2 linked regions of the Cricetulus griseus genome follow. The protein of the gene in region 1 purifies or fractionates together with the protein of each later gene. This does not show direct contact. Links are inferred from orthologs where the notes say so. Each region holds a gene or a part of one and is shown on either strand. Other genes may lie near its edges.

Evidence for each region.
Region 2: the proteins of Snx33 (region 1) and Dnm2 purify together in Homo sapiens (co-immunoprecipitation; 3 studies listed by BioGRID and IntAct, with this or other methods). This does not show direct contact. The link is inferred for Cricetulus griseus from reciprocal best matches to the Homo sapiens genes SNX33 and DNM2.

The regions. Positions count from the first base shown.
Region 1 is NC_048597.1:168,445,595-168,455,983, forward strand, and holds the start of Snx33 (sorting nexin-33), read right to left. Parts: upstream 6,011-10,389; 5' UTR 5,360-6,010; exon of another isoform or gene 5,064-5,359; 5' UTR 4,853-5,063; coding exon 3,382-4,852; intron 3,287-3,381; exon of another isoform or gene 3,127-3,286; intron 1-3,126. UniProt on the Homo sapiens protein: Plays a role in the reorganization of the cytoskeleton, endocytosis and cellular vesicle trafficking via its interactions with membranes, WASL, DNM1 and DNM2. Acts both during interphase and at the end of mitotic cell divisions.
Region 2 is NC_048597.1:134,363,689-134,373,549, reverse strand, and holds part of Dnm2 (dynamin-2), read right to left. Parts: intron 7,002-9,861; exon of another isoform or gene 6,922-7,001; intron 4,368-6,921; coding exon 4,258-4,367; intron 2,604-4,257; coding exon 2,492-2,603; intron 1-2,491. UniProt on the Homo sapiens protein: Catalyzes the hydrolysis of GTP and utilizes this energy to mediate vesicle scission at plasma membrane during endocytosis and filament remodeling at many actin structures during organization of the actin cytoskeleton.

The sequences.
Region 1 (10,389 bases):
CCCACACCTAGCATGAGTATATGAACAGCTCAAATTGAGCTCAGTAAGTTCAATTTATTATTTAAAAAAATAATAAGGGATGGTGGTACATGCCTTTAATCCCAGTTCTTGGGAGACAGAATTTGAGACCAGCCTGGTCTACATAGAGAGTTCCAGGCTAGCTATGGCTATCTAATAAGACCTTGTATCAAATACATACATACATACATACATACATAAATAAATGGGGAGTAGGGAGGTGAATGCATCTGGGAAGAATTAGAAGAAAGAGAGAGGGGTGAATATGATCAAATTATACTGCATAAAATTCTCAAAGAATTAATAAAATATTTAAAAAATTAAAATAGCTTAGGCAGATCAAGAACAGTAGAACATGCCTGTTGTTCTAGCACTTAGTAGACTGAAACAGGACAATCAAGAGTTTGAGGCAAGGCAGTGATGGTGCACACCTTTAATCACAGCACTCCGAGGCAGAGGCAGGTGGATCTCTGTGAGTTCGAGACCAGTCTGGTCTACGGAGTGAGTTCCAGGACAGCCAGGGCTACACAGAGAAACTCTGTCTCAAACAAAACACAAACAAGAGTTAAGACTAGCCTGGGTGGCTCACAGCCATCTGTAATAAGATCTGGTGTCCTCTTCTGGTGTGCAGATATACATGGAAGCAGAATGTTGTATACATAATAAATAAAATCTTTAAAAAAAAAAAAAAAGACTAGCCTGGGGTACAAAGAAAGACCCTGTTTCAAAAAAGAAGAAAGAGGAGCAACTGCTGCTATTGGAACTGGAAAGATGGTTAAACATACTTGTTGCTCTTGCAAAGGGCCAGAGTGTAGTTGGCAGCTCACAAGTATCTGTAACTCCAACTCTAGGAGATGCACCCTCTTTGGGCCTCTGTGGGTACCCTCACTCATGTTCACATATACAGCTCCAAACACAGACACATGGCGATACATATGATCAACAGCAAAGCTAAAGGAGCAGAGCAGCAGCAATCACTGCTGAGGTGAAGAAAGAATTCTATAAGGCTGAACCTATCTGTCCCCTTGTCAGGAGCTTGTACCTACAGGAACTGCCCTGCTTTAGGTAAGCCACAAGCTCCAAGGTCCCCCAAGGATGCTCTGTAGTCCCAGACCTGCCTCAGGAACACAAGCATACCAACTGAGGTGGTCCTAGACTATGAAGTCCAAGCCTCCTTCCTTCCTCCTTTCCCTTCTGTACCATCAAACCCAATTAACCAGCCCTTGGGAAGTTCCCTCCTCCATCTGCCTGATGCAGTAGATTCCAACATACTTGGCCCTATACCTACTCTGCCGTCAAATCACCTCAGTGCTGAAGGGACCATACCAGCCACTGGCCCTGTTTCCTGCCTCCCCGGCCTGGCTGGGCCTCCCCCAACTGTTCTCTCACATGCTCACAATTTGTTCAAACGTCTAGATGGGACAGATAGAATCCTGTGCAGCAGGACCAAACATCCTGTTACTTTCTCTGAGAAAAGTCTCTATCTACAAGGCTAGTACAGGATGTTCTCCCCCTGCAGTTTCCAAAGCCTGCTCAGTTCTGTCTCTTAGATCAACTCCAAGCCCTCCTCTCAGACTCACTCTAGACTCAGGCTAGAACTTAGAACCTAGAGTAAGCAGGGCTTGCACTGCAGGTGGCCGATACAGGGTAATGACCTCTGGCAGCATCTGCTTCAGGCTGCCCGGTTTCCCCAGAAGGCAGAAGCCCCTGACTCTAGGAAACATCTCAAGTGGAGACTGAGACATGGCTTCTCTTAACTGTCTGAGGTAGAAAGGACAATGTAGGTTTTTTTCCCCTTCTTTGGTGAGAGTCTGGGACACTCAGTGTGTGAACCTGTGATTGTCTCTCTTGCCCCAACTCTGCCCTAAGTGAGAGTCTCCAGCGACTGTGTTGGGATAGCTGTTTAATCATTGTGCCCAGCCTCTTGCTGCCCACACAAAAACATGTCATCCAAGGAGCTGGTTGAACCAGCTTTCCCAGGCCCAGCACGGTGTGTGGCTCCACTTCCGCACAGGGAGGCGGGAGGCGTCTGCTCCTGCCAGGCTGGGCCCCCTCTCTGAGTGCAAAGGAAGATCTATGGGACCAGCCTGAGGCACAGGGCAGGCTTTCCCCAGAAGTCTCTACCTGAAAGGCCTAAGAAACTAAGGTCCAGGAAGGCAAAGGCCTTTCCCAATCAGGGACACAAGGAAAACTGGGTGTCAAGCCAGGCTAGAACTCAAGCTTTGATTCCCTGGGGCTGAAAGGGAAAGAAAGTAGGTGGAGATGTGAGGGTTCAGCAAACAAAAGAGGTAAAGGAGAAGGTGATGAGGGCTGCCAGACAGAGTTCTGACAGCCACCATCATGATTAGGACAGGGGCCTGAGGGCAGAGGTAACATTTGCTTTTCCCTACACTCAAACCAGAGGGGTTGCCCAGAGTAAAACTCCTTGACCTCAGGGCCTAGGGTACTGGGAGCTGCCACACGCCCTGATATATTCTTCCTGAGTTACCAGCCCCAGGGAGGACCACACCTCTCTCTTGACTCTGCCTTCCCTAAGTCTGGACTAAGTCACCTGTTAGGTCAGCCCCTGACTCAATTCTTATGCAAGAGAAGCCCAGCTTGGGAAGGGAAGATACACTGGCCCATGTGACCAGAGCCCTGGAACTCTGGTTCTATTCCCCTGTGCCCAGCTTAGTGCTCCATGTGACCCAGGATGAGTCACTTCGCTGGCAGTTCCTTAACAGCAGCAACAGGCAGGGGCTCATCCTGTCCCTCCTCCACACAGGGGGCCATGAGAAGTGAAAACATGATGGGCCTGGGAGGCAGCCAATATGGATATGTCCTTGGGGAGCTGGAGGGAGGAAGGGATAGTCCCATGTGAGCCACAACCACTGTGCTGTGGACACAGACTTATCTGCAAAATGAGGACAGAGATCTCCTGCACAGAGAGACTAGCAGACAGGGTAGAGGGAGGGCCTAGGCTCAAATGCCTCAAAGGTAGGAGCTGAGCCTATGAGAGGGTAAGGCAACCTGTGTCTGTGTCTTGATTCCCCTTGAACCAGGGGTTCATATAAGGCACAATCTGGGATCTGGTTATCTCTGTGTTCCCAGAACCCAGGGTTGTTGTACCTGTGGTTCCATGCGTGATGGAGCAGATGAAACACAGAAAAACCAGAGTGGCCAGCATGGTATACACAAGTTCAGTGAGAACAAAGACCAAACCTGTCCACAATATCCCTCTGCCTACAACAGCACTCTCTACAGAATCATCTCAATACATTTGTTGAGCCTGCAATAGAGATGGAGACAGGAAAATGTGATGAGCTATTGTCATCATACAGGCTGTCACCATACAGCAGAACACCACACTTAGGAAGGGCTTACCTTTTTGCAGGTGGATAATGTCAGGGAAGTTGGAGAGCAGGCCCTGGTAGAGAGACAGTGTGTCAAGCATTTGGAAGAGATCATTCTTGGGCTGTTCAGCGAACATCTCACCAACAGTTTCATAGGTCCGGCCGGTGTGAGAAATGGCATTGTTGAGGGCCTCAGAGCTAAAGGGAGGATCCATCTGGAAGGCATGGCTAATGGCCTGGAAGGCACTTCCTAGTTTCTGGAATTCCTTGCGGAAGCCTCCCACATGCTTCCGCACCAGCTCTGATGCTACAGTGCTAAGCTGCAGAACACTGTCATCCATCTTCTTACTGAAAGCCTTGAATGTATCCACACGGTCCTCTACATCCTGCAGATCCTGGTGCTCTGTGGGGATTTGGAAGGTGAGAAGAAAGCTGGCACCCACCATCTCATCCTTCTCTGCCCGGCGTTTACCCATCTTCCACTGTTTGTCATCTAGGCAGCTGAGGAAATGCTGGAAGCCCTCATACTGAGAGAGCACTGGGTGGCTAGTCATGTGGTCCATCCAGAGGATGAGTCGTCGCTTGCGTTTCTCAATGAAGTCCTCCTCAAAGCGGCCAGTGGCCTGTTTCTCAGGCAGATGGGGCACCGAGATGACAGTGAACTTGTGTAGAAGGCGGTTGTAGAGCCAGTCGAAGTGTTTGTAGCGCCGGTAAACAGGTGAGCCAGCATGGGTGGGTGTAAGCTTGTAGGAAATATAACTTTTGATGCCTTTGAACTTGGTCTGTTTGGTGGGGTCCTCTACAGAGCAGGCAAATGGGTGGGGGTTGGCCTTCCATTGAGGGCCCCTAGGGCCCATCTCAATGGAGTATGTCTCAGCAATCTTGGCCATCATGGGCACATCACCAAGGATGAAGGCCTCCACCCCAGAGCGCACGAAGCATGAGAAACGATTAAGGTTTCGTCCCACCACACTGCCCCGCTTGGCAGATGACAGACTGTCCTGCCTTTCCAAGGGTGCCTTGGGTCGGAAAGCCATATGCTGACTGGGGTAGGCACCCGGGTAGGAGAGGTTGAGTGGAGGGTGCCCATTGGTACCTAGGCCACCAGCCCTTGGCTCTTCTACCACTGTGCATCCATCATCCCAGTCATCCCAGTCATCATCATCATCATCCTCAAAGCTTCCTTGGTTTGAGAGGAAGCCACTGCCCTCACCACTCCTGGCTGGGTTGGCCATACTAGAGCTGTTATACAAACTCACTTGGGTACTCAGGGAGCCTGCAAGGCTGCTAGGGTAGTCCACATAGTTGGTGGTGATGCCAGGACGGACAATCTCAACATAAGAAGCAGGGAAGAGCCCTGTCTCCCCACGGCTGTTCTGCCCCTGCAGCCAGCCGTCCAGTGAGGTCTCACTGAAGATAACCAGGTCTTCATTCTGCTGGATGCTGATTTCCTCTTTGTTCTCACTGTGGAAATCATAGAGGGCTCGGCCTTTCAGTGCCATGGCTAGGCTACCTGGTCAAGACTGGAAGGGAAATGCCTTGCCCAGACCCAGGATGCTCAGCAGGGTGCCCAAAAGTGTACTTGCAGCTCAAAGTCTATTATACCTTACTCAGACCCCCAGGCAGGGTCTCAGCATAAACTGTCTAGCTGCCTTCTCTTCAAAGAAATGTTCATGGTCCAGAAACTGACTTATCCAGTCTTGGGGTATCTGCCTGTAAGCAGGGAGAGATTGGTCATGACCACAGTTTTTCTTTTCTCCCTTGGCAGCCCCTGAGAAGGAGGGAGTCTCTCCCTCCTCTCACATCAAGTAGAAAAGCCAAATGACCTGAAGAAAACAGCTCTGCTAGAACAAGAATCCAAAGCGACAGACACTTTCCACTAGAACAATGTTGTACAACAGAAAAGAATCGGCCCCGGAACAAGGTCCCAGGATCGGAGACTAGTTTCTGCCTCCCCAGCTCCCAGCTCCCAGCTCCTTCTAGCAGCTCCGGCTTTGGGAGGCTCTCACATTCCTCTGAAGATCTGTTCCTTCCTCCTTCCTCTCTCCTCCCAGGCCACCGCGTCTTCAAGAATCCAGAAAATCCAAGAGGGGCAAGGAGAATAACAGCAGAGTCCTGAACCAATTCCAAGGGTGGATGTGTCCGGCCTCCAAACGAGCCAGGCAGGGAAAACAAGGGCCAAAAGCTTGCACAACCAGCAGATAACTACAAAATCTAGGGGGTGCGACCCCGCCTCGCCCGCTCTGGTGCCCTCTTCCCGCCCAGCAATAGCCCCTACCCTCGGAGAACAAGGGGGGGACAAGCCTCTCTCTCTCTCTCTCTCTCTCTCTCTCTCTCTCTCTCTCTCTCTCTCTCTCTCTCTCTCTCTCTCTCTCTCTCTCTCTCTCTCTCTCTGCCTCTTTTGTTTGCTTAATTCCTCAGCAGTTTCGGAGTACCTAAGTTGACCCTGATCGGAGTCCTAGAACCCCTGTCCAGAAGTAACACTAGTGGAAACCTCCACCATCACCCCCCACCACCACTGGTGTGCCAGCAAACACTCAACAGTAGTTGGTAGATGGAGTTCCGTCGAATAGATGGCGCGACCGGCTGTTTGTCCGGCCGGCCGGCGGTTCGTTCTCTGCGATGCCCTGTGGATGCGGCCCGAGAGGGATGAGCTGAGTCCTAGTCTCTTGCCTCTTTCCACCGCACTTGCAACTCCTCAGCGCTGCCAGCGGGAAGCCAGGTCCAAAACAAAACAAAAAAATAAAAAAAATAAAAAAGAAGGAAAAGGAGTCCAGGAGGTGGCGTCCCGAAGAAGGAGGAGAAAGCAGCAGGGGAGGTGAGGGGTGGGGAGAGAGAGAGAGAGAGAGAGAGAGGGAGGGAGGTATGAGCGAGGGAAATCAGGCTAGGGAATTGGGCAAACTCCACAGCACTTCCGCGCGTCCTGGAGCAAGGACCGCGCAGCTCCGCCCTCCCGAGGCCAGGGTGCCACCACCCGCTCTCCGTCCTCTTTCCTTCTGGCAGGCGCCCTCCCACCCTCGGGTTCAGTCCGGGTGGCTGGGATTCGGGAAGTGCACCGGGAGTCGGGGAGCTGCAAGGTTTCAGCAGCAGAGTTGCCGGTGCCGAAAGCCACCTCTCGCCCCGGTGGGAGCGCCGCGCGGTGGAGCTCGTCAGCCGCCGCGGGGCCTCGCCTCCTGGCCTCGATCACCCGCCTGCCTTTTCCGTGACGCAATTGCAGGAAAACTCCGAAAGTTTGCCGAGCGCCGAGTGGCAAGGAGGGAGCTAAGGGCTAGGAGAACCGCGCCGGCTTCAGGGGAGGCGACCTGCGGAGGCCCCTTTCCCAGCCTCCTTACCCGCCTTGCTTGCTCTGATCAATCTGGTGACTAGCACAGATACGGGATTGTTCTCAGAGGGGAAGGCAGCAAACTGTGCGACCCTGGTGTCCCGCATGAGATACCGGATGCTGCGAGCCTGATTGGGCCAGGAGCACCCCTGCCTTGGGCAGCTTCCTTCGGTGGGGGTGGGGAGCAAGAGTATACTTCAGCAGTGGCAAGGAACTTAGGCACAGGCGGGTTCTGGGTTGCCTTTTCCTTTCGTTGGAACTGAGTCTTAAATTCCAGCCAGCAACACCAAGGAGAGGGAGTAATCTGGTAGATAGCCTCTAGGCTTCCAGGATTTGACCCTCCAATTTATGCAAAACGCGGTGAACCGATTTATGCAAAACGCGGTGAGCAGATTAGGAGAGGAATTGTGCTAAATTCTGGAGCAAATAGCACAATGGTTGGATTCCTGCCGTGCCCCTTTGGTCTTTAATTCACCCAATCTGTCTCATTCATTAAATTGTATATTCCAAACAACAAATTAACCGAGTACCAATAATTTGCCAAGCCCTGGAAAAACAACAAAGTAAGAAAACTGTGCTTCCCTTTTGGAAGCGCGTTAAGTATCTGCACAGGTGGGCAAGATGTTCCTGCCTAGTGTATCCAGTGCTGTGGAAAATGCATGGGAGGGCACTTAGCCTGAGTGGAACACATATCAAGGACCTTCTCTTTTCCTCGGAGACGTCTGAGGTTACACAAAGACTTCAGCCCAGACTTCTTTCAATTCTGAGCCCTGGAGCCTTGTTTACCGCCCCCTGGCTAGAGTTTCCTACTAGTTTAAATTAGTGCTGCTAAAATTGGGACCTTTGGCTGTTTTGAGGGACATGATTCCCAGACCTCTGGCTTCAAAACTCGTTTTCATTGGTACAATCTGGATTTGACTCTCTGAAGATTACTAATAGCTGGTCGTGGTGACACACATGGGAGGAGAGGATCCTAAGTTTGTGGCCATCATAGTGAGTGCCAGGCCAGCCTGGGACACAAATCGAGATCTTACCAAGTTAAAAACTGGGCAGGAGCTGAAACAGAACTACCATGAGTTGGAGGCTGGACTACAGTGTGAAACCCTTTCTCAAACAAAACAACAACAAAAAAACTAGCTGGGGGCTGGAGAAATGGCTCAGAGGTTAAGAGCACTGACTGCTCTTCCAGAGGTCCTGAGTTCAATTCCCGGCAACCACATGGTGGCTCACAACCATCTACAATTCAATCTAGTGCCCTCTTCTGGCATGCAGGTAGAACAGTGTACATGTAATAAATAAATAAATCTAAAACAAACAAACAAAAAAATAGCTGGGTGTGGTGGTAGACACATTTATCCTAGAACTTGGGAGACAGGGGCAGGTGGGATAGGCCTATACTTCAGAAAGCCTAGCAACTGTATGGAAGGAAGTTTCTACAACAGTACCTAGTACCCAGCAACCACTAAAGAAATAGTTGTTATTGTTAGGCTCAACTAGGAGAAAGGTCTGTGAACAAGAAGAGACTCTCAAGCAGGGAGAGGAATGTCTCCGGCGGAGGTGGGAAGGTTTTACAAGTTTGAGGCCAGCCTGGTCTATCTAGGAAGTTCTAGAAAAGTCCAGCTAGGGCTACATACATAGCAGGACCCTTTCAAAACAAACAAAAGAAAGCAGCTGGGAGTCTTTAGAGTCAAGGCTCTTCATATGTGTAGTTATATATTGTTTATAACCTAACAACTAAAGTTTGCCTGAAGAACAGAATGCTAACTAACCACACACGTGTTTTAGAGGTAAGCCACTAGTTAGCCATAGAAGACAGACAGGCAGTGGTGGCCAAACGTTTAATTCCAGCACTTGGGAGACAAAGGCAGATGGATATCTGTGAGTTCAAGGCCACCCTGGGCTACATGAGAGTTAATCAGTCTAAAAGAGAAACAGAGCTCATACCTTTGATGCCAGCACCAGGGACATTATAAGGCAGGAGCTCAGTGCAGTCTTGGTGCAGTCTGATGTTTGATGGAGAACATTACAGTCGGCAGTCCTCCGAGGACAGGATAGTGTCCCCACCCCCCACCCCCTTTGGTCTTAGCCTTGGTAGAGGTAAGAACTCTCTAGCAGCTTGGCTGCTTTGCTTTTCTGATCTTCAGCTTAAACATTATCTGTCTCTAGGTTTTTATTATTCATGCTACAGTATGGCAGGGGTGGGGGATGGGGACGTGTGTGTGTGTGTGTGTGTGTGTGTGTGTGTGTGTGTGTGTGTGTGTGTCGTGGGCTATCCTGGCCACTGAGCTTCCCAAGGAGCAATCCCAACTCTTGACCTACTGATGTGAAAATTCATTTTGCTTTACAGCTGTTTTTCCCTGAGTAAAACTACCCAGATTCTAGAGTTTGTGCACTCTTCTTTCTTTTCCTTCTTTCCTTTCTTTCCTTTCCCTTCTTCCTCTCTTCCTTCCCTCCCTCCCTTCCTTTCTTTTTGAGGCAGGGTCTCACTATGAGACAAAGCTAAGCTACAAATTGCAATGTTCTCCTGCCTTTGTTTCCAAGTGCTTGGGATGCAGGAATGTACCATAATACCCAGCTTTGTTTTTGTGACAAGGTCTCAAGTGGTCCAGTCTGCCCCTCCAACTTGCACATAATGAAGGCTCTGTAATCCAGGCACACCTTTTTGTAGTCCTCCTGCCTCTGTTTCCTGAGTAACTGTGACAACAAGCTTGCTTCCTATATCGTCTTTACTTTGCATTCAAACACTCCAGTCACACACAGCCAACTTGGATTTATTATATGCTCTAGGTATAGTTTTTCTAAATCTTAGGGGCTACCCTCATTTCCAAATTCTTAGGAAAAACAAGTGTTTCGGCCTACAGAAATTTCCAGAACCCCCTCTACTCACTAAATCCCAGGGATCCTCTTCAGGTCTAAGGGGAACAGCCTCATTGTTACTAGTAAAGTGCACTAACCCTTATGATTTCCCTGCACCCAGCTCAAAGATTACAGATTCAGCAAGTCTAGTCTCTGCCGTCCATACATCCTGAGATTACTGATTACTTTTCTCAGTTGCAGGGTGAATCTGTCTCAAAGTACTGAGCCTCTTTTCTTTTTCCCAGGACTTTTTTTATTGTTCTCCAGTTTACACTTTAGCAAATTGATTTCCATATCCTCAAAACATCCTGAGGAAGGAATGATGCCAAGTATAAATCCTTTCAATTAAGGAGGTGCTGCAGTTGTCCCCCAACCAAGTTTTGCATAGTTTCCCTTGGGGAAACTCTCAGGCAAGATTCATACAGAGAGCAACAAAAGAAACAAGAAACAAAAGATAACTGGTAAACAAAAGATGGATTAAGGCTTGGTGCTAGCACTTGGGAGCCAGACCAGGTAGCCCAGGGGGAATTCTGCCACACAGTGGGATCTGAACTCTGGTCCTTAAAATTGAGCCAAGCTAGCTCTCTGGCCCTCATTCTTATTTTTATTCTTTCTTATTTTTATTTTTTCAGATGGGTCTCACTATGTAGCCTTGCTGGCCTGAAACTTCTCACATAGACCAGGCTAGCCTCAAATTCAGAGATCCTCTGCCTCTGCCTCTCTGCCTCTCTGCCTCTGCCTCTGCCTCTGCCTCTGCCTCTGCCTCCTGAGTGCTGGGATTAAGGGCAAGCACCACAGTGCTGTGTCCTTTCTTCCCTTTAATTGAACATGTTCTCTTTGCTAGTAGGGCCCCATTCATGC
Region 2 (9,861 bases), about 34 Mb from region 1:
AGATGAGCATCACTGAACAGCTGTAGTTGAGTCCCAACTCTTGGGAACTATGTGCCTTCCCTGATGACAACCAACCTCCTCCAGTGGGTTCCAAACAGCCCCATTAGACCATGTGGTCTATACTAGTTAAAACCAGGCTGGACTCTTCCCAGAGGTGGGAACAGAAGGGAAAAGAAAAAGAAAACAAGGCACATGAGTCCAAGTCCACCTGCCTTCCAGGCCATGGATTGTGCTGGAGAAGTCTCTGGACCCTCATGACAAACCATGCTTGTCCTGTGTTAGGTTTGACTATGAACGATGGGCTTGGGTGTTGGTACCTTTGGCTCCAGCTAGTGCTGCTGTATTTTTTTGTTGTTGTTTTGTTTTGTTTTTGTGTGACAGGGTTTCTCTATTGCTTTGGAGGCTGTCCTGAAACTTGCTCTTTAGACCAGGCTGGCCTCGAACTCACAGAGATCCGCCTGCCTCTGCCTCCCAAGTGCTGGGATTAAAGGCATGCGCCACCAACGCCCGGCAAGATTTTTATTTTTGATTTATTTTTATTTATGTGTACATCAGTGTTGGTACGTATACATGCCATATGTGTGCATGTGTCCACAGAGGCCAGAAGAGGGTGTCAGATCCCTTGAAACTGGAGTTATAGACAGCTGTAAGCTGTCATGTGGGTGCTGGGAACTGAACTTGGGTCCTCTGAAGAGTGGCCACTGCTTTTATCTGCTGAGCCATCTCTCTAGAACAACAGTACTGTATTTCTGAAGCTCTTTAAACTTCAGAAAGCTTGGCTTAGCTGGAGAAAGTATGTCACTAGAGGTGTATGCCTGGAGACACCTTGGCCCCAGCCCTTTCACGTCCTCCCCTTTGTTTCCTACCTGTGCCCCAACACCACTGCCATGACAGACAGGCTACACACATGGGGCCAAGTAGCTATGGACTTGAGCCCTCTAAAACCAGGAGCCAAACAGAATACCTCTCCCTTTGCTATATGTAACAGGTATTTATTGATTTGTATGTATGTGTATATATCATTCATATGAGCCATTTCTCTCTCTCTCTCTCTCTCTCTCTCTCTCTCTCTCTCTTCCTCTCTCTCTCTCTCTCTCTCTGTGTGTGTGTGTGTGTGTATGTGTGTGTGTGTGTTGTAGCCCGACACACATGGGCCTCTCCTTACTACTTCAAAATGTCTGTTTATGAATTACAGGATCTATCTATCTATCTATCTATCTATCTATCTATCTATCTATCTATCTATTTATCTGTCTATCTATCTATGAATAACAGGGTCTCCCTATGTAGCTCTGGCTGTTCTAGAGCTTACTATGTAGGCAAGGCTGGTCTTGAACCTGTTTTTTTTTTTTTTTTTTTTTTTTTTTAAATAAAGATTTTATTTATTTATTATGTATACAGTCTTCTGCCTGTATGCCAGCAGAGGGCACCAGATCTCATTATAGATGGTTGTGAGCCACCGCGTGGTTGCTGGGAATTGAACTCAGGACCTCTGGAAGAACAGTCAGTGCTCTTAACCTCTGAGCCATCTCTCCAGCCCCAGAACCTGTTTTAAAATTTTTAAAATTACATTTTATTCCAGGGGTAGTAGCACAAGCCTTTAATTCTCATACTCAGAAGGCAGATAGATCTCTGTAAGTTCAAGGTTATCCTGGTCTACATAGTGAATTGTGGGCCAGGCAGAGCCACACAGACCCAGCCTCAAAAAAAAAAAAAAAAAAAAAAAAAAAAAAAAAGAAACCCCAACAAACCCCCACATTTATGTTTTGTACATGTATGTATTTGTGTGAACACGTGTGTGCTATGGCACGTGTAGGTCAAAAACAACTTGTGGGAATCCGTTCTCTCTCTCCAACATGTGGGTTTTGGGGTTCAAGCTCACATCCTCTGGCCTGGCAGAAGTAACTCCATTCCCTTAACCATCTCTGAATCTGGGGCACACTAATTTTTCTAGGTTGCCTGTTAAGCAGGTTTCAAGGATCCATCCACACACCTGTTTTCATCCCAAGTACCTCCACTTTTCAAGACTGGGATAACAGGCAAACACAGTCTGTGCCTGGCTTTTTACTAGAGTTCTGGGAATCCAAACTAAAGTTTTCATACACAGCAGGTACTTTTTTTTTCAGACAGGTGTGTGGCTCTGGCTGGCCTAGAACTCACTATGAAGACCAGGGTACTTTTTGAGACAAGTGTCTCCCCAGGGCCTGGGGGTCACTGATGTGACTAGGTTGCTGGTTACTGGACGTTAGTTGTCCTCCTCTCCCGGCCTCTTCTGCACCGCCACACTTGGCTGTTGTTTATGTAGTTGTAGGTATTGAACTCAGGCCCTTGTGCTTGTGTTGCAAGCACCTCACCACCTAAACCATTTCCATAGGCTATGGCAGCTATTTTTACCACAGCAAAGAAAGGCTGATTAATGCTTATGACCTAGAAGTTCCTTCTCCCAGGCAGCCTCTGGTATGTCATTTACGAAGGGAAGGTAGCTCCTCACCTGATCCTTCTCTGGGTAGACTCCAGCTCGAAGGAACGAAGCCTTCCAGCTGTCCACATCTTCCTGGGAGTCACAAGCCAGTTCGATCTGCCGTAAGTCCTTGTAGACATTCCTGGGTAGAAGAAGGGGACTTGACTGATCACTAAAAGCATGGGATTGGGGGTGGTGTGTCTGTCTGCCTGATCTGGGCATGAAGGTGGGTCTAGTACTCTCTCCAGTTTTTAAAGGACTTCTGGGTGCCTGCCATGTACACTATAGCACCAATAACATACCATATACACACACTACCATCAGATCAAACAAATCTGGTACAGAAGTGTTGACAGCTTGCTATTTATAGGGCAGGGCTTGCTACACAGCCAAAGCCAGCCTCAAACTTAGAACTTCCTGCCTCAGGCTCCTGTGTGCTGGGATTAGAGGTGTGTGCCACCATGCCTGACATTCCAACCTGGTATCTGAGGTCAGACATTTCTTCTCTATGACAGTTGGTTTTAATTATCAACTTGACGCAACCTAGAACTCCGTGTGGAGGACACATGGGGATTGTGCGCCTGTGGAGCATTGTCTCCACTCAGTGTAGTGGCACATGACACCGTGTACTTCCTCAGTGCCAGCAAGCAAAGGAGGGAGCATGCAAGCTCCTGTCCGTCTCTGATGGGGATGGGGCGTGCCCCTGGGTCTCAGGCTCCTGCTATCCTGACCACCTCACAGCGATGGGCTTGAGCAATGAACTTGAACTCATTCCCTCTTAAGTTGGAAGTTTGCTTTTTGTTTGTTTTTTGCAACACAGGGTTTCTCTATATAGCCCTGGCTACCCTGAAACTTGATCGGTAGACCAGGCTAGCCTCGAATTCAAGAGACCTACCTGCCTCTGCTTTCTGCCACCTCTTTCCTGTTCTGCAGGGATGGCTGTCCACCAGTCCCATGTTGGGTATATCTCATGATACCCTGCTCTGGCTTGGGAGCTTCCACTGAGGTGTCTGCAAGGAAGAGCCCAGCAACCATGTCCACCAGAACTTCCTACCACAGCAGAGACATACTCAATCTGCACTGCCTGGTGTGGCAGCCCAAAATAACAGATAGCTTAAAATTTCTTTTTCAATAATTATAATGGTGTGTGTGTGTGTCCATTTGCAAAGTCCATCTTTACGTACATTCCAAGGACTAAACTCAGGTCATCAGGACTGCACTTTCTACTCTCTGAGCCATCTGACCAGCTCACTGTACCACACCTCCAGACTCTCGCTAGGAGACTCCAGGCGGGCACTCTACTGCTGAGCCACACATACAGCTTCCATCACTGAATGGTCTCTGTACTTAGGAATGAGGTGAGGGTCAGGGTCAGGTCAAGTCTGTGGACATGGTATGTGCATGTGTATGCAGGCTTAGGTCAACACAGACACCTTCCTCACCTTCTGTTCACCTTCCTCTTTGAGACATGGTCTGCCTCACTGGCCTGCAGCTTACAGAACTGGCTAATCTAGCTGGCTGGTTACTACCAAGGGCCCTCCCATCTCTGCCTCCCCAGCACTGGGTGTGTGGGAGGGCAGACTGAGGTCCTCATGCTCATTCCATCGTCTGCATCTACGGTGTTCGCTGAGCCCTCACTTCCACTACGCAGAAACACTCCTGGAACAGTTTAACTGCATTCCCTTTCTACAAGGTGAGACCCTGGGGAAATGACTCAAGAGAGTGCTCAGGACTCCGGAAGCAGTGAACAAGGCCACTGGGCAATGGGCTCTCCCAGGGGCCTGCAGGCTCCTCACCTCTGCTCTGTGTTGAAGATGGCAAACACGTGCTTGTTGGACATGAAGCCCTTCTCCACGTCCCGAATCTTGAGGTTGTCCAGCGGCAGCATGTACTTCTTCTCTTTCTCCTAAGCAGAGGGCAGAAGCCTCACCTAGGCTGACAGGGCAGAGCCTGCAGCCACTTGACAGCTGCTGCCAACACCTGACTTGGTGCTGAGAGGTGTGTCGCCCCTTGTTCACTCCAATGTTCCCTCAAAACTTCAGGACGTCTCTGTTCAGAATGTTCTTGTCCTGGCACTGCACCTCCCCCCCTCCCCCGCTTCCTCCTTAAGGTCTCTGAGCAGAAGGGACCTTAGGGCTAACCCCATCCCACCCTACTATAGACACTATGCTTATGACCTACATGACCGTTCCCAGATGGATGCCTGCCAATTTTGTTTTTCATCTAGAGCACACATGCAGTGGGTGTTCAAACTACTCAGTTCTAACTTCACGTGTAACATGACCACTCTTTATTCCCAGGTGGTCCTCCCCACTTCTAGATGAATGGACAGAATTGACAGCTAGAATTTGGTTCATGTCACTGAGTTATGGTGACAATCCCACTCATAGTAAGGAAGGCTGAAGCACAGAGGCCTTCTTGAATGCCAGAACCGGGAGGCTGATGCCAGGGCACCAATGCCATAGAAGTGTCACTGGCTTTGTGAGTCACCGTCTCTCTACTCCATGCTTGGAATCAAGCCCAGTTTTTCATGCATGCCAGGCCACTGAGGCCAACCCAAGCGCTCTTTTTTCTTCATCGCAATGCTGGAGCTGCAACCCAGGAACTCAAAGGTGAGCATCCATTGCTCAGGCAGCAGCACTCTTCTTACTTCTCATTAAGTTTCCCAGTCCCTTTGTAAATTCTAATCCTCCTGTATCAGCAACCCAGGTAGCAGCAATGATAGGCCTGTGCCAGTTAGTCTCTCTACAACTCTCATAGCCATGTGACTGGCAGCAGTGGCTGAAGCCAAAGCCACACTGATCCACTCCCAGAACTTTTCCTTTTACATGTACTCGGGGTAGGAAGCTGGCTGTCCAGGGGCACAGAGTGGGGCCACTGTGTAACCTGTAGATGAGGGCTGGAGAGATGTCTCAGCAGTTAAGAGCAGTGATTGTTCTTCCAGAGGTCCTGAGTTTAATTCCCTGCAACCACATAGTGGCTCACAACCATCTGTTATGAGATCTGGTGCCCTCTGCTGGTATGCAGGCAGAAGACCGCATACATAATAAATAAATAAACAAAAAAAGTGTGTGGCTTAAAAAAAAAAAAAAAAAAAAAAAAAAAAAAAAAAAAAAGGCTGTAGATGAAAAGCCAGCTCTCTGTGAAGGTTTTCTATACCATATAGACTTATAGCAAAACAAAAAGTCTCACGTAGCCCAGGCTAGCCTCCAACTTGCTATATAGCTGAGGATGACCTTGAATTCTTCATCCTTCTGCCTCACAAGAGCTGTAATGAATTTTAGGCCCGAGCCACCAATCACAGCCAGGTCTTGCAGTCCTGGGATGGAACCCAGGCCTCTGTGCAAGCCAGGCAAAAGCTCTAACAACTGAGCCCTAGCCTTAGACCCTCACCTGGACATCTTTCCTTGAGACAGGCATTTGCACTAAACCTGGAGCTAGGATGTTGGCCAGCAAGCCCCAAACATCCTCCTGCCTAGGGCTGAAATCAGGTCCCCATGCTGCAGCATAAGTATTCTTCCCCACAGAGCTGGCTCCCCAGCCACTTTTTATCACTCTTTCTAATGTTTCTGGCCATTGTGTTATCAAAAAGCCCCAGCATGAAGCTTTTTGGAAAAGCACCCCTGAATTCTCCAGCAGCTATAGTGCTGAAAGGGTAGGGGATGGGCGGGGCCAGTCTGAACACTGCATGTGTACTTGTGTTAAACTGCTCTGCCTTTCTAGGCCATGTGTCTTAGGACAAGTTGCTTCTCCCCTGTGCCCATTCCCCACCTGTCAAGAGGACTGAGGCGTCTCATCATGGGGAGGGTGGTATGGTTTTGGCTCCAGGTTTCCTATTGTTGCTCTGACTGACCTCTGAGCACAGGCAGAGGGGCTGTGGCCATGGAGGGTGGAACACCCTCATACCTGCCCTACATGCTGAGATCCCCAAATAGGAAGGGCAGCCTTGAAGTCTGCCTGGTTATAAGAAACAAAGTCGGGAATTTGGGGGTCCCTGAAGGAACTTCTGTTTATGAGGGGTAATTTCCAGAGTAACTCTGTGGCCTGCACCCTCTGGTGTCATGAGACAGGAAGCCTCTCACCAGCAGGCCAGGGCCAAGTAACTGAGTCACAGACATCTAGGCTTGCCACATCTGGAATTGTTTATATATGATTCTGCCCAGGATCAGGCAGCTGCAGTCTCAGTCACAGGCACATGCATTAGTGTGCGCATGCGCTTGCTTACAGAGCGCACAACTGCATAGGGACCTCCCTCCTTCTGTGGCGTGGGCCATCAACTCAAGCCCTCCTCCAGCCCGCCTTCAGATTTCCTGAAAACCCCAACTTTATCCAGATGTGAGCCAGTCACCCTGCCTTTGCCACGTCAGAAGAGCCCAGGGTGCAAGGATGAATGGAGGACCCTGGGAGAAGCAGAGGCTCCCTGGCCTGCACAGTGGTCACCCTGAGGGCTGAACCACCACCCCCGCCATCCCAGTGTTCAGACTAGCTGTTCAGCAGGCTGTGATATGTACAGTAGTCTGCACATTGGTTAGGCTGGGCGTGGGCCAGCAGCAGCAGTGGAGACAGAGGACCTGAGGTAAGTGCTGCCCTCTGTACTGTTGTCTCCACCAGGGAAGATTCTGGAAGGAGGAGGAGGGTGGGAAAAGTAGCCCTGAGACTGAGAGAGCCCTGGGGCTGGGGAAGGATGTCCTCAGCTGAACTGGGCCTTTCTCCTTGCTTTCAATTGGCACTGTTCTCCTCTTTTTTATTCCTAAAATAAAGAAAAGGCTCCTTCTGGTCTTTACCAAAGGCTTGTCTACAAAAGTGGTCTGGCTCTCAGGGATGGCTGCTACCTGCAATGCTGAGGGCCCTGCCAGGATCCTTAGAGGTGAAAGGGTCCCCATAGTGCCTGAATCCCAGCTTGCTCTGTCTTTAGCAACACAGGGCTCCTTTTACTGCTCTTGCTGGTGCTGTGACCCTGACAGAGGGCTGGTCTACAGTGAGGCAGGAGTTCATGGTCCTTCCCAGCAAAGGAAAAAAACTCTCAATACTCATCTTGTCAGCTAGGCCCAGGGCTGGGCAATGGCATCTCCATCACAGGACCCTGGAGGACCACACACATACCCCCGTTCTGCCCAGCTGTCAGCTTGCTTTTCTTAAAGAGTGCTGGAGCTAGAACCCAGAAACTCAACACTGGCGTGCCTCTGGGAGGCACAATCCCCGACAGTTTGATGTGCTACATAGAAAAATGATGGCCAGGTCACTATCCTGGACTCTCCAGGGGGTACTGTGAAGCCTGGATCCCTGGACAGCCTTGAGGCAGGGGTCACCAAGCTCACAGATGTAGGGACGGAAGGAAAGAGGGGTAAATCCAGAAATAGCAATACATGGAATAGTTTAAAAAACAAACAAACAGGAGGGTGAAGAGATGAGTAGTTAAAAGCACTGTTTCCTTTCCCAGAAGTTCGATTCCATGGAGATCCAATGCTCTCTTCTCACCTCTGAGGACACTGTACGCACATGGCAGACAGACAGACATGCAGGCAAACCATCCATACACATAAAAATGTAAAAATATACACAAACACCAAAATAACAACAAAAACCCCACAAAAAAAAAAAAAAAAGCCATGACATATCTCAGTGGATAAACCAGCTTGCCACCACCAAGCCTGATGACCTGGCTTCATCCCTGACCACATGGTGGGAAGAAGCAACCACCTGTCCCAAGTTGTCCTCTGACCACCATGTGTACATATACCATGGCAAATGCACAACGCACATGCACACATACATAAAATAAATAAGCAAACATGAAACTTAGACGGAAGAAAAGGTGAAAGGACAGACAACCCTTACCACACCACCTCAGCCACTGAGCAACTGGATTTACACCATTGGCTACCGGGAGATGTCTGCAGTCTCAGAGGCTTACAGATACCCAGAAATGTCCATGGGAGCTCTTCTGAGCTCACTGATAGAGTCCCTCAGGTTATAGAATCATTCAGAAGTAAGCCTGTGGCCTCATGGAAAAGGGAAGCCAAATGTCATCTCCAAACACTCCTGAATAAATACATCTGGCCTGGGTGTGGGAATGGCCTGAACTCAGGGGAGAGGTGTCGCCCCCCCTCCCCGTCCCCCCTCCGTCCCCCTTCCATATTTTGTGACATGAGGCTAGCTATCTTTCAAGGCCTCAGTTTCCTACCTACCCATGACAGTGCCAATCTCAAGGTGGACTTGAGAATTTCCTGAGTGGGACTGAGGACTTGCAAGATGGCTCATTGGGTAAAGGTAATGGCAGCAAAGCCTGCCCACCTAAGCGTGTCCCCCAGACCCACATGGAAGGAGAGAGCAGACTCTTGGAAGTTGTGTCAGACTTCCATGTACTCTGGGACAATTGTACACAGATATTCAGATCAATAAATGTAACACATTTAAAGTCTATAAAGAAATGGAGGAGCATGCCTTCTGCATGTAGCCTTGTGTGGCCTTACCTAGTCTGTGATGTGGTGTTATATTATTTATGATTTATTAAAGCTTGCCTGAGGATTCAGAGAGCAAAGTCAGCCACAAGCCATAGAAGCCATGCACACACCTTTAATCCCAGCAGCCAGAAGCTAGGTGGTGGTGGTACACAATTTTAATCCTATGACTCAGGATTAAGAGGTAGAGGGATCTCTCTGAGTTCAAGGCCACCCAGGGATACATGAGATTGAATCAGTCTAAAAGAGTAACAGAGCACACACCTTTAATCCCAGCACTTCTATAAAAGATAGAAGCAGGGTCTTCAGTATTTAGTAGGAGCAGTTGGAGGCTTGGTGAAGAGCTCATGGATCAGCCCTTTCAGCCTGAGCTACAAGTGAGAGCTAGTGCTGGCTGCTTTGCTTTTCTGAACAACAGCTTGAAGCTTGAACCCTAAAACCAGTCTCTGGGTCTTTTATTTTTCATGTTACACTGTGAGCTTGGCACAGGGTGAGGTCTCATGGGCATGTAAACTTTTCTTTTTGTTTTTTCAAGACGGGTTTCTCTTGTAACAGGATTGGCTGTCTTGGGATGATCTGTAGGCCTTAAATTCAGAGATCCTCCTGCCTCTGCCTTTTTTTATTTTTTTAAATGTGCATTGATGTTTTGTCTGCATGTATGTCTGTCTGTAGAAGGTGTCAGGTACCCTGGAACTGGAGTTAGAGCAATGACCAGGGGAGCCTGGGGACAAGTGGGTAGTGTGCCTCCTTCACAACTACAAAACCCTGAACTCTACTCTTGCCTCATAAACCCAATATGGCATCCATGCCTGTCATCCCAGCAAGATTATAGTGTCACCCTGGGCTACGTAGTGAATTCAAATCCAGCCTGTTTAAAAAAAAAAAAAAAAAAAAAAAAACCAACAACAACAATAAAAAAACCCAGAGAAATCTGGCCTT